2 linked regions of the Yarrowia lipolytica genome follow. The protein of the gene in region 2 purifies or fractionates together with the protein of the main gene of each other region. This does not show direct contact. Links are inferred from orthologs where the notes say so. Each region holds a gene or a part of one and is shown on either strand. Other genes may lie near its edges.

Evidence for each region. Proteins that work in one complex are often made in the same cells at the same time.
Region 1: the proteins of YALI1_F25485g (region 2) and YALI1_D00747g purify together in Saccharomyces cerevisiae (affinity purification with mass spectrometry; 4 studies listed by BioGRID). This does not show direct contact. The link is inferred for Yarrowia lipolytica from reciprocal best matches to the Saccharomyces cerevisiae genes SEC26 and GLO3.

What each region holds. Positions count from the first base shown.
Region 1 is NC_090773.1:71,967-78,069, forward strand, and holds YALI1_D00747g (uncharacterized protein), read right to left. Parts: upstream 3,102-6,103; coding exon 3,024-3,101; intron 2,753-3,023; coding exon 1,421-2,752; downstream 1-1,420. Other genes in the region: YALI1_D00724g (uncharacterized protein), read left to right, coding at 533-1,321; YALI1_D00754g (uncharacterized protein), read left to right, coding at 3,524-4,333; YALI1_D00766g (uncharacterized protein), read left to right, coding at 4,687-5,472. UniProt on the Saccharomyces cerevisiae protein: GTPase-activating protein for the ADP ribosylation factor (ARF) family. Involved in retrograde vesicular transport from the Golgi to the endoplasmic reticulum.
Region 2 is NC_090775.1:2,544,120-2,551,594, forward strand, and holds YALI1_F25485g (uncharacterized protein), read right to left. Parts: upstream 4,539-7,475; coding exon 4,503-4,538; intron 4,397-4,502; coding exon 1,574-4,396; downstream 1-1,573. Other genes in the region: YALI1_F25444g (uncharacterized protein), read left to right, coding at 357-1,214; YALI1_F25496g (uncharacterized protein), read left to right, coding at 5,564-7,475. UniProt on the Saccharomyces cerevisiae protein: The coatomer is a cytosolic protein complex that binds to dilysine motifs and reversibly associates with Golgi non-clathrin-coated vesicles, which further mediate biosynthetic protein transport from the ER, via the Golgi up to the trans Golgi network.

The DNA.
Region 1 (6,103 bases), on a different chromosome or scaffold from region 2:
AATTCACCAAGTAATTCTAACTAAATATCTGGCAGCATGTTTTTGATAAAAATAGCCATATGCTACAACTGTTGAACAAAAAGAGGGAAATAATTTACTAAATTGTGAATCACAAGTACGTGTTTAATGGAAAAACATCAATTTGGCCATCTTATATTCCTACAAAATCTGATAGCCCCCCATCCAAGTAACGATATAGTCAGCTCTCCTCTTAACTATTTGTCAACGTAGAACCACACCACACGGCACCCCAACAATACAGCCACATCTGTCCCCCAGCAGTGCCAGATCTAAACCAATTCTTCCTACTGTAACGCAGCTACAACAAGATATATACTTGGGTCCTCCAATCCTCAACCGAAATAAATGCCCTCGAACTAGACCATAGCTACAAGTAGTAGACCCACCCTAACCTTAGCCCCACACCTCTCATGCCCGTGCTTGCATATCTCCATGTGGGGGAGTGATACTTATAGTAGGAAGAGACCTACAGTACTTGTAGCAAAACAAACAAACAACACTCTACAACACAATGACTGTCCCAAAGCTACCACTGTCATTCCCCCTGGACCAAGCCGTAGACACAATTCGGCTCTCCGACAAAGGGTCTTATTACATTCTCGAATTGAACGCTCCACCTGACAATCGACTAACCCCCTCTTTCATCACGGCCTTCATCGAAGCGTTAGACACTCTCAAGTTCTACTACGACCCAAAACCGCTGGTGACAACCTCCACCTCCCCCAAATTCTACTCCAACGGCCTGGACTATGAATTGGCCCAGAAAACCCCCAATTTCATGAGTCTCTACTTCTACCCTCTTTTGAAAGCTTTCGTGGACTTCCCCTGGCCCACAATTGCCAACATCAATGGCCATTGTTTTGCAGGTGCCTTTTGTCTGGCAGCATTCCATGACTACAGAGTAATGAACCCGGCCAAGGGGTGGCTGTGCATGAATGAACTCGAGTTCGACGCGCCTCTAATGGGCCCTCTCATGTCCATATACGTTACCAAGTTTGGAGCTGCTATAGCCCAGAGAATCTCGCTCAACGCAGAGAGATTCACAGCAAAGACAGCTCTCGAAGCCGGACTCATTCACGCCCACGGATCATGGCCAGAGGTCGAAGAAATCGTGAAACGAATCGGGGAATACTCAAACCGGACATTCTATAGCCAAATGAGAGCTGGTATTCTCAGAAACGTGCTGACAACCATGGATTACGACAACGAGACTCGTATCCTCCACGAAAGAAGAGACAGACTGTGGAAATACGAGGACGAAAACAAACCAAGAATTGGAGCACTACTGAGCAAACTATAGGTATAAGTACAATTGGTATATTTAGTTAATACATACACTAACATGCTCAATAAATTACTGGGATAGAGCTTCTATTGTGATTTTCAGGCTGGTCCAAACTTATCTCATGTACTCCCTCATGAAATCGCCCACCTTTTTTCCACCCTGCTCAAAAGCGTCCTTCAGACCTCCAAAATCCTCTCCGGCCACGTTCTTGACCCGCTCAGCGAGATCTGCAGCCATTCGCTCCAGATCGCTCGAGTGGTTCACCATAGCCTGCTCCTCCTCCTCGTCTCGGCCAAAGTAGGATGACGACGAAATGGCCTTGGAGCCGGAGTACGTCTGAAGACGCTCCTTCGCCTCCTTCTGGGCAGCAGGGTCGTAATCGGACCGGCCAAAGAACTGGTCTGACGAAATACCCTTGGATGTCTTGAACTTGTTGAGTGTCTCGGCAGTTTCCTTATCCGGAGGGACATAGGTAGACTTCTTCTTGGTCGACTCCAGCTTGTTCTCACCGGCAACCATACCAAAGCCGAGCTTCTGGAACTTCTGCTCGACCTCCTTAGTGTTAGTGGGGACCAGCTTGATGGGTTCGTTAGAGTAAGTGGGGGGGTAGTCTGCGGGGCCGCCAAACGAGCCGGAGGGAGCGGCGGTGTGAGTGGGCTCGGAAACAACGGTGCTCTTGCCGAACACGTCGTCCTCAGCATCATCGTCGTTGCCAAGACCCAGGGCCTCCTTATTCTTTTCCTCCTCCTTGGCCAGTCGTTCGGCTTCCTCGAAATCAAACGACTCGGCGGGAGCCTTCTTAGGTTTGGTCTTCTTGGAAGACAGAATGCTCTTCTTGCCAGCGGCACCTCCGGCCTTCGAGGTAATCTTGGTCCGGGTGGCGGTAGGGGTCACCTTCTTGGTGGGGTTGTTCAGCGAAGAAGTGGAGCCGTTGTTTCCGTTTCGGATACCGGGCAAGCTGGCAGTGGAGGCGCCAAGAGCAGGGGTGGAAGACCGCGAAGATGTAGGGGTGGGCTTCTTGACCAGGGGCTTGTCCCAGTTGGCAAAGAAGTCGTCGGTGGAGGCAGACTTGATGCTGGCGGCGTCGTCATCTGCAGTCTCAACCACAATCTCGTCGGGGAACTGGGCTGCGTCCTTGGCGCACTTTTGGGCCAGATGAGTCAGGTAAGCCTTGGCGGTCTTGGAAGTATACTTTTCCTGGGCTCGACCAGCGTTCTCGAGGTACTGGGAGCCTCCGTGCTTGGCAAAGTATTCCCGTGCGTTCTGGTTACCTCCACACTTCATGTTTCGGAGCTGCTTGTAGGACCACTCGTCCATGGTAGTGGATCGTACGAACGACACGTGCACTCCGAGGTTTCGGTGCACCGACGAGCAGTCATAGCAGATGAACACACCGAAGGTGACCGACGACCAAGTGGCATTGTTGGCGGGACAGTCAAAGCATGTCTAGGTTAGCGTTGAAGTTGAAACCGGTATTGTGTATGAGCCACATCACCATTGAGTAGGTAGGCACGCGCGTCATAAACACCAGCCCGGCATGATTCAGCGTAGGAGAAAAACACCCACAAACTGACACGCCACAGAGGCAGCTCACACCCCCCTTTCTGTGCCACATAAGCCCTTGCACCTTGGTAACCATACGGTCCATGCCAGATCAGCTGGACGTGGCAGCCGTGTGGGAACCGCTCAAAACCAAAAGACCAAAAAAACAACTCACCTTGTTAGCCTGAAGACTGCTTAGCTTCTTGAAGATCTCCTCTCGTTGAGACTTGGGCAGAATGTCGCTCTCAACCATGTTGTGTTGATAATGACACGAGGTCAAAAGTAAACTCTAGTAGTGCGCTGATGGTCAGAGTTACCCGGCAGCATCTTTGGCCATCATGCATCATTCTGGAGCGTTGCAGCAGAGCGACGTGCCTGGAGACGGAACTACTATAACAAAACAGATGTGTCAGATAATGCAACCCAACAGGGCTAGCGAGAATATATACCTAATAAATACCCAGCCACGTGACCAAAAACCCGACTCCAAGTCTACCAAAGAGCACCCCACCTCACTTCTATCCACGTGACCACCTACTGGCACACCCCAAACGCACCTCATTGCTTCTTAAACTCCCAGCAAAGTTTTACTAACAAATCTGGAATCTGGAGAAGGCTACCTTGTCGCTACCTGCACATCACATTACGACACCCTACACAATCCACTTATACACAATGTTGACACGCCCATTACTGGCTCTGTCACGCCCTATGGCACTGGGTGCCCTTAGACCTGCCGTTCTCGTCAGAACTCTCACCACTGCAGGTCCCACCACAACCGTCAGATCTACACCAATCATTACCCCCTCGCATCTCTCCACACTGTCTCGATCCACACCATTTGTGTCCAATTGCACACTTTCTCTGCTGAAGCGGTCATTTCATGTGTCCTCTGACGCTCGAAGCGCCGCTAAGGCCGAGGGGAAGCCCAAGGTGTCGGCCTACGAGAAGGCCAACATGCGCCTGGCCAAGATCGGAGTCTTTTTCCAGCTGTCGTGGTACCTAGGAATCATTCTGGCGGCACTGGGACTGTTTGGACTCGTCTGGTACTACCTGATCATGGAGCTGGTGATGCCCTCTGGAGACGTGCGAATCTTCAACCGAGCGTTCAAGGAGATTGAGAAGAACGAGGATGTCATGCGAGTGCTCGGAGGCCAACTATCGTCCATGGGCGAAGGTGGAGGAGGCCGATGGGGCCGAAACCAGCCCCCCGTCAGCAAACGAGGCATCGACAAGTACGGCCGAGAACACATTTGGATGAACTTTTACGTGTCTGGAGACATCAACGAGGGACGAGCCAAGCTGGAACTAGTGCAGAACACAGACTCCAAGCTGTCGTCCGAGCGGTTTGTCTACCGATACTTTGTCGTTGACATTCCGGGCCACAAGCGAATCTACATTGCTGGAAACGCCGCGGAGAAGATGGAGAAGAAGAAGAGTACCGGCTGGCTGGGCGTCAACTGGGGTAAGAGCGATGATGAGTAGGAGACAATACCATATGAAGCATGTAAATAACGACGAGCAAAGACCAAGGAGCAATACAATAATGAAATGACATGTCATATGGCCTAAATACCTCGGCTGGGTCGTTCACCAATGTACTTGTAACATTGTGCTGTACTTGTAGCATTTTAATGATTATGTCATCCTTGTATCCCCTTAATGACTGCCTTGATTCTGTACGAGTACAAGAAACTACGACAGTGTAAGTACATAAATACATAATCTCTGTCATGTGTCATTTCTACTTTGAGACTACGCTCCAACTTGTAAAGAGGCGTTGCCCCCAGCCGCCCTCGTTCCGAATCTAATGTTATGCTATATCAGCCATATCAGCCATGGCATTTTTGACTTTCTCTTGTGTGATGAGTCTCCTTCCCTTAAATACCCTCCTGGAGGAAATCGGCCACGTTATGAGGCTCCTTGCTGAGCAGCACCTTCTGGCCGGAGGCGGGCTCGCAGTCTCGTCGAACGTGGTTCTCGGGGCCGGGAGTGGGCATCTTGCCGGCCTTGCAGTCCTCCAGAAGCTTGACGGTTCCCTCGGGAGTGAGATCCTCGTAGTAGTCGTCGTTGATGGCCATCATGGGGGCGTTGACACAGGCTCCGAGACACTCAACCTCAGAGAGAGTGAAGAGGTTGTCCTTGGTGGTCTCACCGGGCTTGATGTTAAGGGTGTTCTGGACAGCCTCCATGATACCGTCGGAGCCACACAGCTGACAGGGGGTGGTGGTACAGATCTGCAGATGGTACCGGCCCATAGGGGTTCGGTTGTACATTGTGTAGAAGGTGGCCACCTCATAGACTCGCATGGGGGGCATTTCCAGCAGCTTGGCCACGTAGTTCATGACGGAGATGGAGGTATAACCGAGCTGTCGCTGGCCAATGTCGAGAAGAGGCATAACAGCAGCCTTCTTGTACTGAGGGGGGTACTTGGCAATCACCTCCTCAGCTCGCTTCATGTTCTCGGGGGAGAACTCAAAGGGAATGCTGGGGTTGTTGTTCTCAGTGTTTCGGTGTACAGAGACAATGTGAGTTCGGGCATTGAGAGCCTGGGGGGCCCGAGTGGTGGGCCGGGCGAGAGCTGCCAAACGGGGTCGGATCAGTCGGAGCATTTTTGTGTGTGAAGGTCGAGCTGAAGCTGTGGTGATGGAGATGTTCGTGCCCTTGACCCAAACGCTCCAGAGTTAGTTTTTCAGAAATTGGGCCACGCCTATTGGTTGATGACCTGAATTAAGGTTGAGTAATTGGGAGGGAGGATATTGGCTGGAGGGAGGAGGGGATGAAATACGGATTAACGGATCACCCTTGTGCGATTGATGTCGCCAGACACACGATTTGAGCTTCATTATATTTTGGACGTGTATTCACTCTGGGTTTCTTGCTTACTAATCGGACATATGTGTTCAATGGCAAACTAAATTACAAGTACATCTGATTGGGATGTTGGGGAGCTACTTTTGGCTTCCCTAACCCAAACTCGGAGATAATGAGGTAGAAACTTTTTACTCTGTGCTGAGGGACGAGAGAGAAAATGTATTGTCAGCATGTTCCGCTAAGAAAAGTGTAACATGGGCAAGGTCAAATGTTAGGCAACACCTTGTTTCGATGGGTGGGGTACAGTACGTAAATATAAATTTATATTGTTGTTGGTTGGCTGCTGGATGCACAGCTACAGTATTCCTTCAAATAAAAAAGTCAAGTAAAGTCTCAACAAAAAATCATATCCGAGAGACACATAATTATAGATACAGCAAG
Region 2 (7,475 bases):
GTGTTCGTTAGCGCGGTTAGTAAGGGGATGTAGCGTAGGATAGCTGGGTCAGAGGAAACAGTAAATGTACTATGATAGGGCTGTGAGGTTTTCAGGAGACAAAAACGGCCCATTCTTCTGTCATAATCACCTCGCTCACTCCAGCCAAAGTACGGTTGTACTTGCTCGGGTCGGCAGTTATACTTTGGCTAACATCGCCAAGAGGGAAAAACGCAGAAAAGCGGAAAAAAAATTAAATCGTGATTTTGCACCCTCGAAAACCACAGCCAACCATTCTAAACGTTTCAGAAGCGCCGAAATAACGCCCTTTTCACGCGTCCCGCACCCTTCCACCCTCCCACAAAAACACCCGTGTCATGTCTGCTGCATCTACTGGAGCTAGCGCCACCAAGAGTGCGCCTGTTAGCAGAACCGCCCAGGGCACTCAGTCTACACCTGCTTCTCTCAAGAGCGAAACCAAGACTACCGAAACCAATTCTAACACCACCGACACCAACGGCGAAGACCTGTTGGCGTTCTGGCATAATGGCCGGTTTGGCGCCTTCTTCAAGAAACACGAAATCCCCAGAAAGTTCCTCCACACCTCCATCGGCTTCATCACCCTATGGCTGTACACCCAAGGCATCAACCTGAACCAGGTCACTCCCGTTCTCGTGGTGATGGCATTGTTCATCGGCACCTTTGACTTCCTGCGTCTCAGAAACAAGGCCCTCAACAAGGCCTACTGCAAAGTCATGGGAGCTCTGATGCGAGAGTCCGAGATTAACGGCGTTAACGGAACCATCTGGTACCTGCTTGGCCTCATTCTGGTCTTCTCGTTCGCCTCTAAGGATGTTGCTCTTATGGCTGTTCTTCTGCTCTCCTGGGCTGATACCGCAGCCTCTTCCGTCGGCCGGGCTTATGGATACCTCACTCCCAAGTACAAGAACAAGTCGCTGGCTGGTTTTATGGGCGCCTTCATTGCCTCTGAGATCGCATGTCTCTTTCTATACGGCATCATCATCCCCAAGTACGGCGCTGAAGTCGACACGCCCGGCCAGATCACCTGGTCCAAGCAGTCTTCTCGACTTACTCTGGGAGTCTTGACAGCCATGTCTGGTCTCGTCGGAGCCGTTTCCGAGTCCATTGATGTGTTCGGAATCGACGACAACTTCACCATTCCCGTCCTCTCGGCGCTCTTCCTTACTGGTCTGCTGGACATCTTCAAGAAGTAAATTGGCTTTCACTCCCCGAACATCACAAAATCAACACAACAAGCGATAGAATGACGACAAGAAGAAGCTGACAAGAGTTGCGGAGGAATAGTAATAGTTTTTTGCATATAGACAAATAGATAGATAAATTTCTCTTATGACTAACCAGACTGAATGAGTTAGCATTGAGATACGTCCTATAAATTTCAAATTGTGCATATCGGAAGCCATCATATACATGGTTCATGTAAAGCATGGCAGATCGATCAGTCTATACAGTAACTGCAGTAATAGTAGGGTATGTACCCACGTTGCCGCTCAGATAGTACAATTTTCATTACATTGCTTGTTCTATATATATATATATATACAAGCTCACCTTATGCCAGGCTCTTCAACACGAGCTGCTTCTGAATGTCGGCAACCCGATCACCCAGCGACAGAGCCAGACCCTGACCCTTGGACCGAATTCGGACGTGTCCAGAAATCTCCAGGTTGTCGTTGATCTCAATCGAGATGTTTGCAAGAGCCTCCTCACCAAACGAACTGATAGAGTACAGGTTAGCAGAAAGGAAGCCGCAGTCGTCCTCAAGATCAGTAGCATCCTCCTTGATGGCACCAGGAGTGAGACACTTCATGTTAGTGTTCTCAACAAAGTACCGAATGTACTTCTGAAGAGTAAGACCCTTTGCCATGAGGTTGACCTTGTTCTCCCATTCAAACTCGCTCCACATGCTTCGGAACTCAGTCTCGGAGCAGGTGGAAGGCTTGATGTAGTCCATAATATCAACATGCAGATCGTTGAGAATAACAACCTTGTTGTCCAGAGAAGACTGACCGTCGTAGACAATGTTACCGAAAATGACAGACGCATCAGCAGAAGACACCTTGATGGTGGTCTGTAGAGAGGCAAATCCATGGGGACCGAGGTTGAGACTCTGAGGCTGGTCAACAACCTTGAGGTCACCAAGCACAGAGAACTCCACTGTGAGGTTCCGGAGGGTGTCCTTGGTCTGGTTAACAAGCAGAATGTCGAGAATGATGTCAAACTGGTGCACGTTGATGACGGCCTCAGCGTAGATAGGGTCGGAGAATCCAGTGAGGGGCTGGACCTTGGCAAGAGAGGAAAGAGGCTTGGTAGAAACAACAGTGGTGTCGATAGTATCAAGAGCCTCGGGCTCCTCGTCGTCACCATCAGTCTTGACAAGCTGTCGAAAAGATAGGGAGTCATCGACTTGAACGGCGTTGTTTCGCTTGTCAGCAGCCTTCTTGTCGGCACGCTCCTTATCGAGCTTGCCAACAAGGGCTCGGAAGGCCTCCTTCGTGTCTTCTCTGTAGGCCTCCACAACGGCAGGCTCTCGGTCGCCCTGAGAGATCGCTCGAATACAAGACAGGATTCTGTCAGTAGAGTCCTCGTCGATAGAAACAGCAGAAAACTCGGACTGGCCAGCTCGCAGAATAGAGGTCAGGAACAGCATGGCCTCGGCCTTGAGAGCGTTGACCCGAGCAGGCTTTTTGGTGATGGCAGCGTATCGGAACACCAACTTGGCGAGAGTGGATCCAAGAACGCCGGCAACAAAGTAGTTGCCATCCTTGAGGATGATAGACCGCAGAGGTTGGCCCTCAAACTCGTCAACCTCGGCCTTGACAGTGGTGGTCAGGGCAGATTCGGTGGCGTAAGTACCGTCAGCAAGAACCTTTCGGGAAGGCTTGTGGGTGGCAGTCTCGCCAACATCGGGCTCCTCCTCGGCACCATTGGTCTCACCGTCTCTCTTTCGTCGCTCAGAAGCAACAATGGGAACCTCTCCAAGAGAATTTCGAATGTGCTGCCATGCCTCCTGGATGTCTGCTTCCTCGAGACAGTACTCTCCAATGACCCAGAGAGCAGATCGGTAGACAGTGGCTCGTCGAACAGAAGACAGAGTGGTCAACAGTCGTCGGACGATAGTAGATCGTAGGTTGGGGAACCGCTCGACAACCTCTCGTACAAAGATGATGACATCGTTGGCAGAAGAGGAGTTGAAGTCGGCCACAAAGTCTAGCAGCAGATCAGCAACCTGGGCAGCCACCTGGGGGAACTTGATGGAGCAGTTGTGGATGGCTCGGATAAGAACCTGTCTGTACTCGGCGTTTCGCTCGTACTCCTGGGAGACGGTGGCCTGGAGCTCCTTCTTGAAGAGCTTAATAACCTCGTCAATGTTTGTAGAGGACACCATGTCTAGGGCAATGTCGATGGCCTTGGATCGCACATCCAGATCGGCAGACGACAGAATCAGCAGAATGGACATGGACAGCTCGTTGAGAATTCCTGGGTTTCGTCGATGCAGGGTATCAACTCGGTCCAGAACAATGAGCTTGACGTTGTTGTCAGACTCGTGGATGGCGAGATCCACCAGCTCCTGGGCGGCAGCTCGCAGAGCAGTGGGGTTAGAGGTGAGGGCAGTCAGGGCCATGGCAGCCTCGTAAGTGACGGCGGGAGACGAGGCCTCGAGCATCTCAAGTACGATGGCAATGTAGGACTGCTTCAGCTCGGGAGTGACAATGGCGTCTCGTCGAATGAATTGGACAAACGCCAGCTGGATGAGCTCGTCGAGGGAACCGATGGAGGGCAGCTGTTTCTGCAGGTAGGCAAACGCCCAGTCTCGGTTGATGTTGGCAAGCGACACAAACGCGTTTCGCTTACATGTGGCGTCGGTCTCAGCGTCCAGGAAGGTGGAGATCAGCTCGTCGCAGTCGGGGACAAGGGTCTCGGAGATCTCTCGAATGGAGGCGATGGCGAAAACGGCGTTCTTTCGCACGTAGGAGTGTCGGTGCTCCATGTTGGATCGCACAGAGGGAATCAAAGACTCCAGCAGCTCGGGCTCCTTGAGCTTGCACAGGAATCGCAGGGTCTCTCCTCGAATGTACTCGTTGGGGTGCTGCAGGTCGTTTCGGATGGCGTTACACACGAGAATCATCTCCTGTTTGAGCTTTCCATCGGGCTGGAGCTTGGGGCAGATCTCCCAGTAAAAGTGCAGCAGCTTCTTGAGCTGCTTGTTCTTCGAGGGCATGACGAATCGGATGATTTGCATCAGAAGCTGGGGCATGGGGTCGCCGTTGAGCATGGCGACCAGGATTTGCCGCATGGCATCGACCTTGTCTTCATCCCGTCCCTTCTCAAGCAGGTTCTGGAAGTCTCGGACCGAGAGCTTCTCAGTCGAGGGCTGTGTTAGTGGTGTCTTGTGAGGTGTTGGGGGCGTGTAATTTTTGAAAGACACGTCGAGAAGAGACTTGTGGGGGCCACAAAACACCTCGGGCGGCTTTACTCACCTCGTAGACCAACGTGTACTGAGCTGAATCAGACATGGTAGTGGTTAGGTTACACGTAGTGTGTCTCGTCAATTGACTTTTGACATCGTGGCCATAGGCATGTGTTGTTACCCTACTTTGGGGTTCAATAGAGTGCGATCCGGCCAGTTGCGTATTTGATACTCTTAGAGAGCGTTAGAGAGGTGTCTAGAAAACGGGATGGCAGGCATTTTTTATTGCTATAAGGTCACGTTACAAACCGCGTCATTCTCAAGTAGAACCTCTACTAATGACGTAAATTCTGCTCAACTACATACGGTCCGTGCACCTCTTCACATCTTCCCACATGGCATATCTGCACTGCGATTGCCGACATTGGAATAAGCCCAATAAGCCAAGTGAAGTAAATCGAGTCTCGCAGTTGACATTATTTCTTACAATTTCAACAACACACTTAGACACTACGTACTGTTCCCTACAGTGAGACATCTGGTAGTCTTCCCATATTCTATAGAGTTTAATGTACGTATTATGTTATTATAAAAAAAGATACATATTCTCTACTATGTACTGTTAAATTATAAAAATATATAAAATATATATAATCATGGAAAGATGGTTATGGTACTCAACACACAATTCATGCTCCTACAGTAATAGGAATATCATATTTCGATGACAATAGCTTGAACAAGTGCTACAGACTCGCTACAGTAGCTTCCAGAGTTGGTTGCCATCAGTGTGTTTACCATTTCATGTTCCAGTGAGGGGTGATGGAAAAGATGGAGTTTGGGGTCAAAGATGTCCAGGGCGTTTCAACATAGTTTGGAAAGGGATTTGACCCTTGAGATATAGCTACAATGTAGATACATCTCGAACTCTGCGTCAGGAACAATGTTCATCTTCACAGCATCCCAAATCACCTCTTGCTGCGTCACGTGCCGACCCCTACTTGTCGCTTGGCTGACGTCACACATGCAAAAGCCTATTATAGTGCTGGGACATGCAGTCGAAAATAGCACCTCCTAGACTGGTTAGACAGACAACTGTCACAAATCCAGCACCACACCACCACAATCACAATGTCTCACGGAGCTGGAGGGTACATCAATGGCGTGGTCTCCGACAACAAGACCCCGTCGCCGTCACAGCCTCCAGTTCATGTCCCCAAGCGAAAGCCGGTCCATCGAAAACCTGTGGGAGTGGACTCGAATTCCACCACTCCAAGTGCCAGCCCGAACCCTCAGACAGGCTCACCTCTGCTGGGACCTCCAATCATACCTTATGGAGCTGCGAGTGCCACGGGCACGCCGTCTGCTGCTCCGGGGACGCCTCCTGCAGCCGCCAAAAAGCAATACCGGTATTCTTCTCTGCTTGATCCAGAGCCGACCTCTCCGAAACCCGCGACCTCGGAACGCCGGGCCGTAAGCGAGGCCCGAAAAGTGCCTCCACTTCAAACGACATCTGCTGGCGGATTATCTGGAGCAATCAACTTTTCCAAACCCGTGTCACCGGCAAGCCAACATGCACAACAGGGCGTGGGGTTTGGTAGAGCACAGGCCTCACAGTCGTCTACGGCCCAACCACCGCCGTCGCTGCCACCAAAGGTCCCCGTAACATCAACCCACAACCCCTACTCGGGGACTCCGGAGCTGAAACAGGCGTCGTTTGGTTATCAGGCCAGTCAGTTTGCAAGCCCAGCTGCCGCTCCTTATGCTACTAACGGAACGTCACCAAAACAGCATGACTCGACCAGCCGCAACTACAGCGCTTCTTCTCGACCACCGGTGCCCAACACGTCTTATTCGACACCAGTAGCACCTTCGACACCTAAGAATAATGGACCTGGCGGAAATGTACCTGGGGGAAGTGCCCATGGAAGCACGTCCGCAAGCTCGCAACAGAGCCCTCCCTACCCAGTCCCCGCAAACACGTCGTCATACGGATCAGCATCGAATACGACACGACAACCCTCGGCCGCCTCGACCACAACCTCTTCCAGCAAGTCTACCCTGCCATACCCAGTTCCTACTCCTGCTGCAACAAAACCCACGCCGCAAACTCCTCCCGTTCAGAGTGCGTACAAGTTTGATAGCCCTCAAGTCGAGGTCAAGCCCGTGGCCAAACCAGCAGTGTCTAAACCGGCTATGCCACCTATTCCCAAAACTACCATTAACACGTGCCCCCCTGCCATGCCTCCTGTTCCCAAGACCAACATTCAAAAGCCAATACCCACACCTGCACCAGTAGCTCCTGCTGTCACAAAGGCACCTGTACCAGCCCCTGCTTCTGCGCCCACTCCTGCTGCTGCACCCATCTACCAGCCGTCGCACCATCTGCCTCCTCGGTCTCCTTCCCCGGACTCGGACTACCAGCACTCGCCTCCCCGACGAACGCTGCGAGTCGTGAACGACTTTTCTTCTTCTAGTGACGAAGATGAACCCACACCGGCAAAAGCTGCTCCCCCTGTGCCTACGGTCACCAAGACCCCCGCTGGACCTCGAGAGTACCCTCTGACGAACCGCATGTCTCACCTGGAGATCAATGATGGCAACCATCTGGACCCTTTTACACCAGCAGCGCCTCTGAGAATCCACAAGAAGAGCAATTCGTCGACTTCCAACCCGTCGTTCGACTTTGCAACCCGTGAGTCGTTTTACGCCACGCCTTCTGGCTCTACAGATGACATTTCCCAGGAGTACGTGACCAACGAGTCGTACCTTAATAGTCAGAGAGGAGGCGTTGATAACAACAACAGATCTATGAGTTCCATGTTTACCGGCAACCATAGCTACGACAGCGGGAGCAGTCATAGCACACGTCCCATGAGCGGAGAGGATCTGCTAGCGGAACATCATCTGCAACCTCAGTACACACACGAATCAGCGATTGATCCCTTTGATCCTTCGTTTGATCCTCACAACCCAGCATACGAGCCTAGAACTTCTTACGAGCATCCCGAACCTCCTTCACCCCAAACCCCTGCGATCCCTG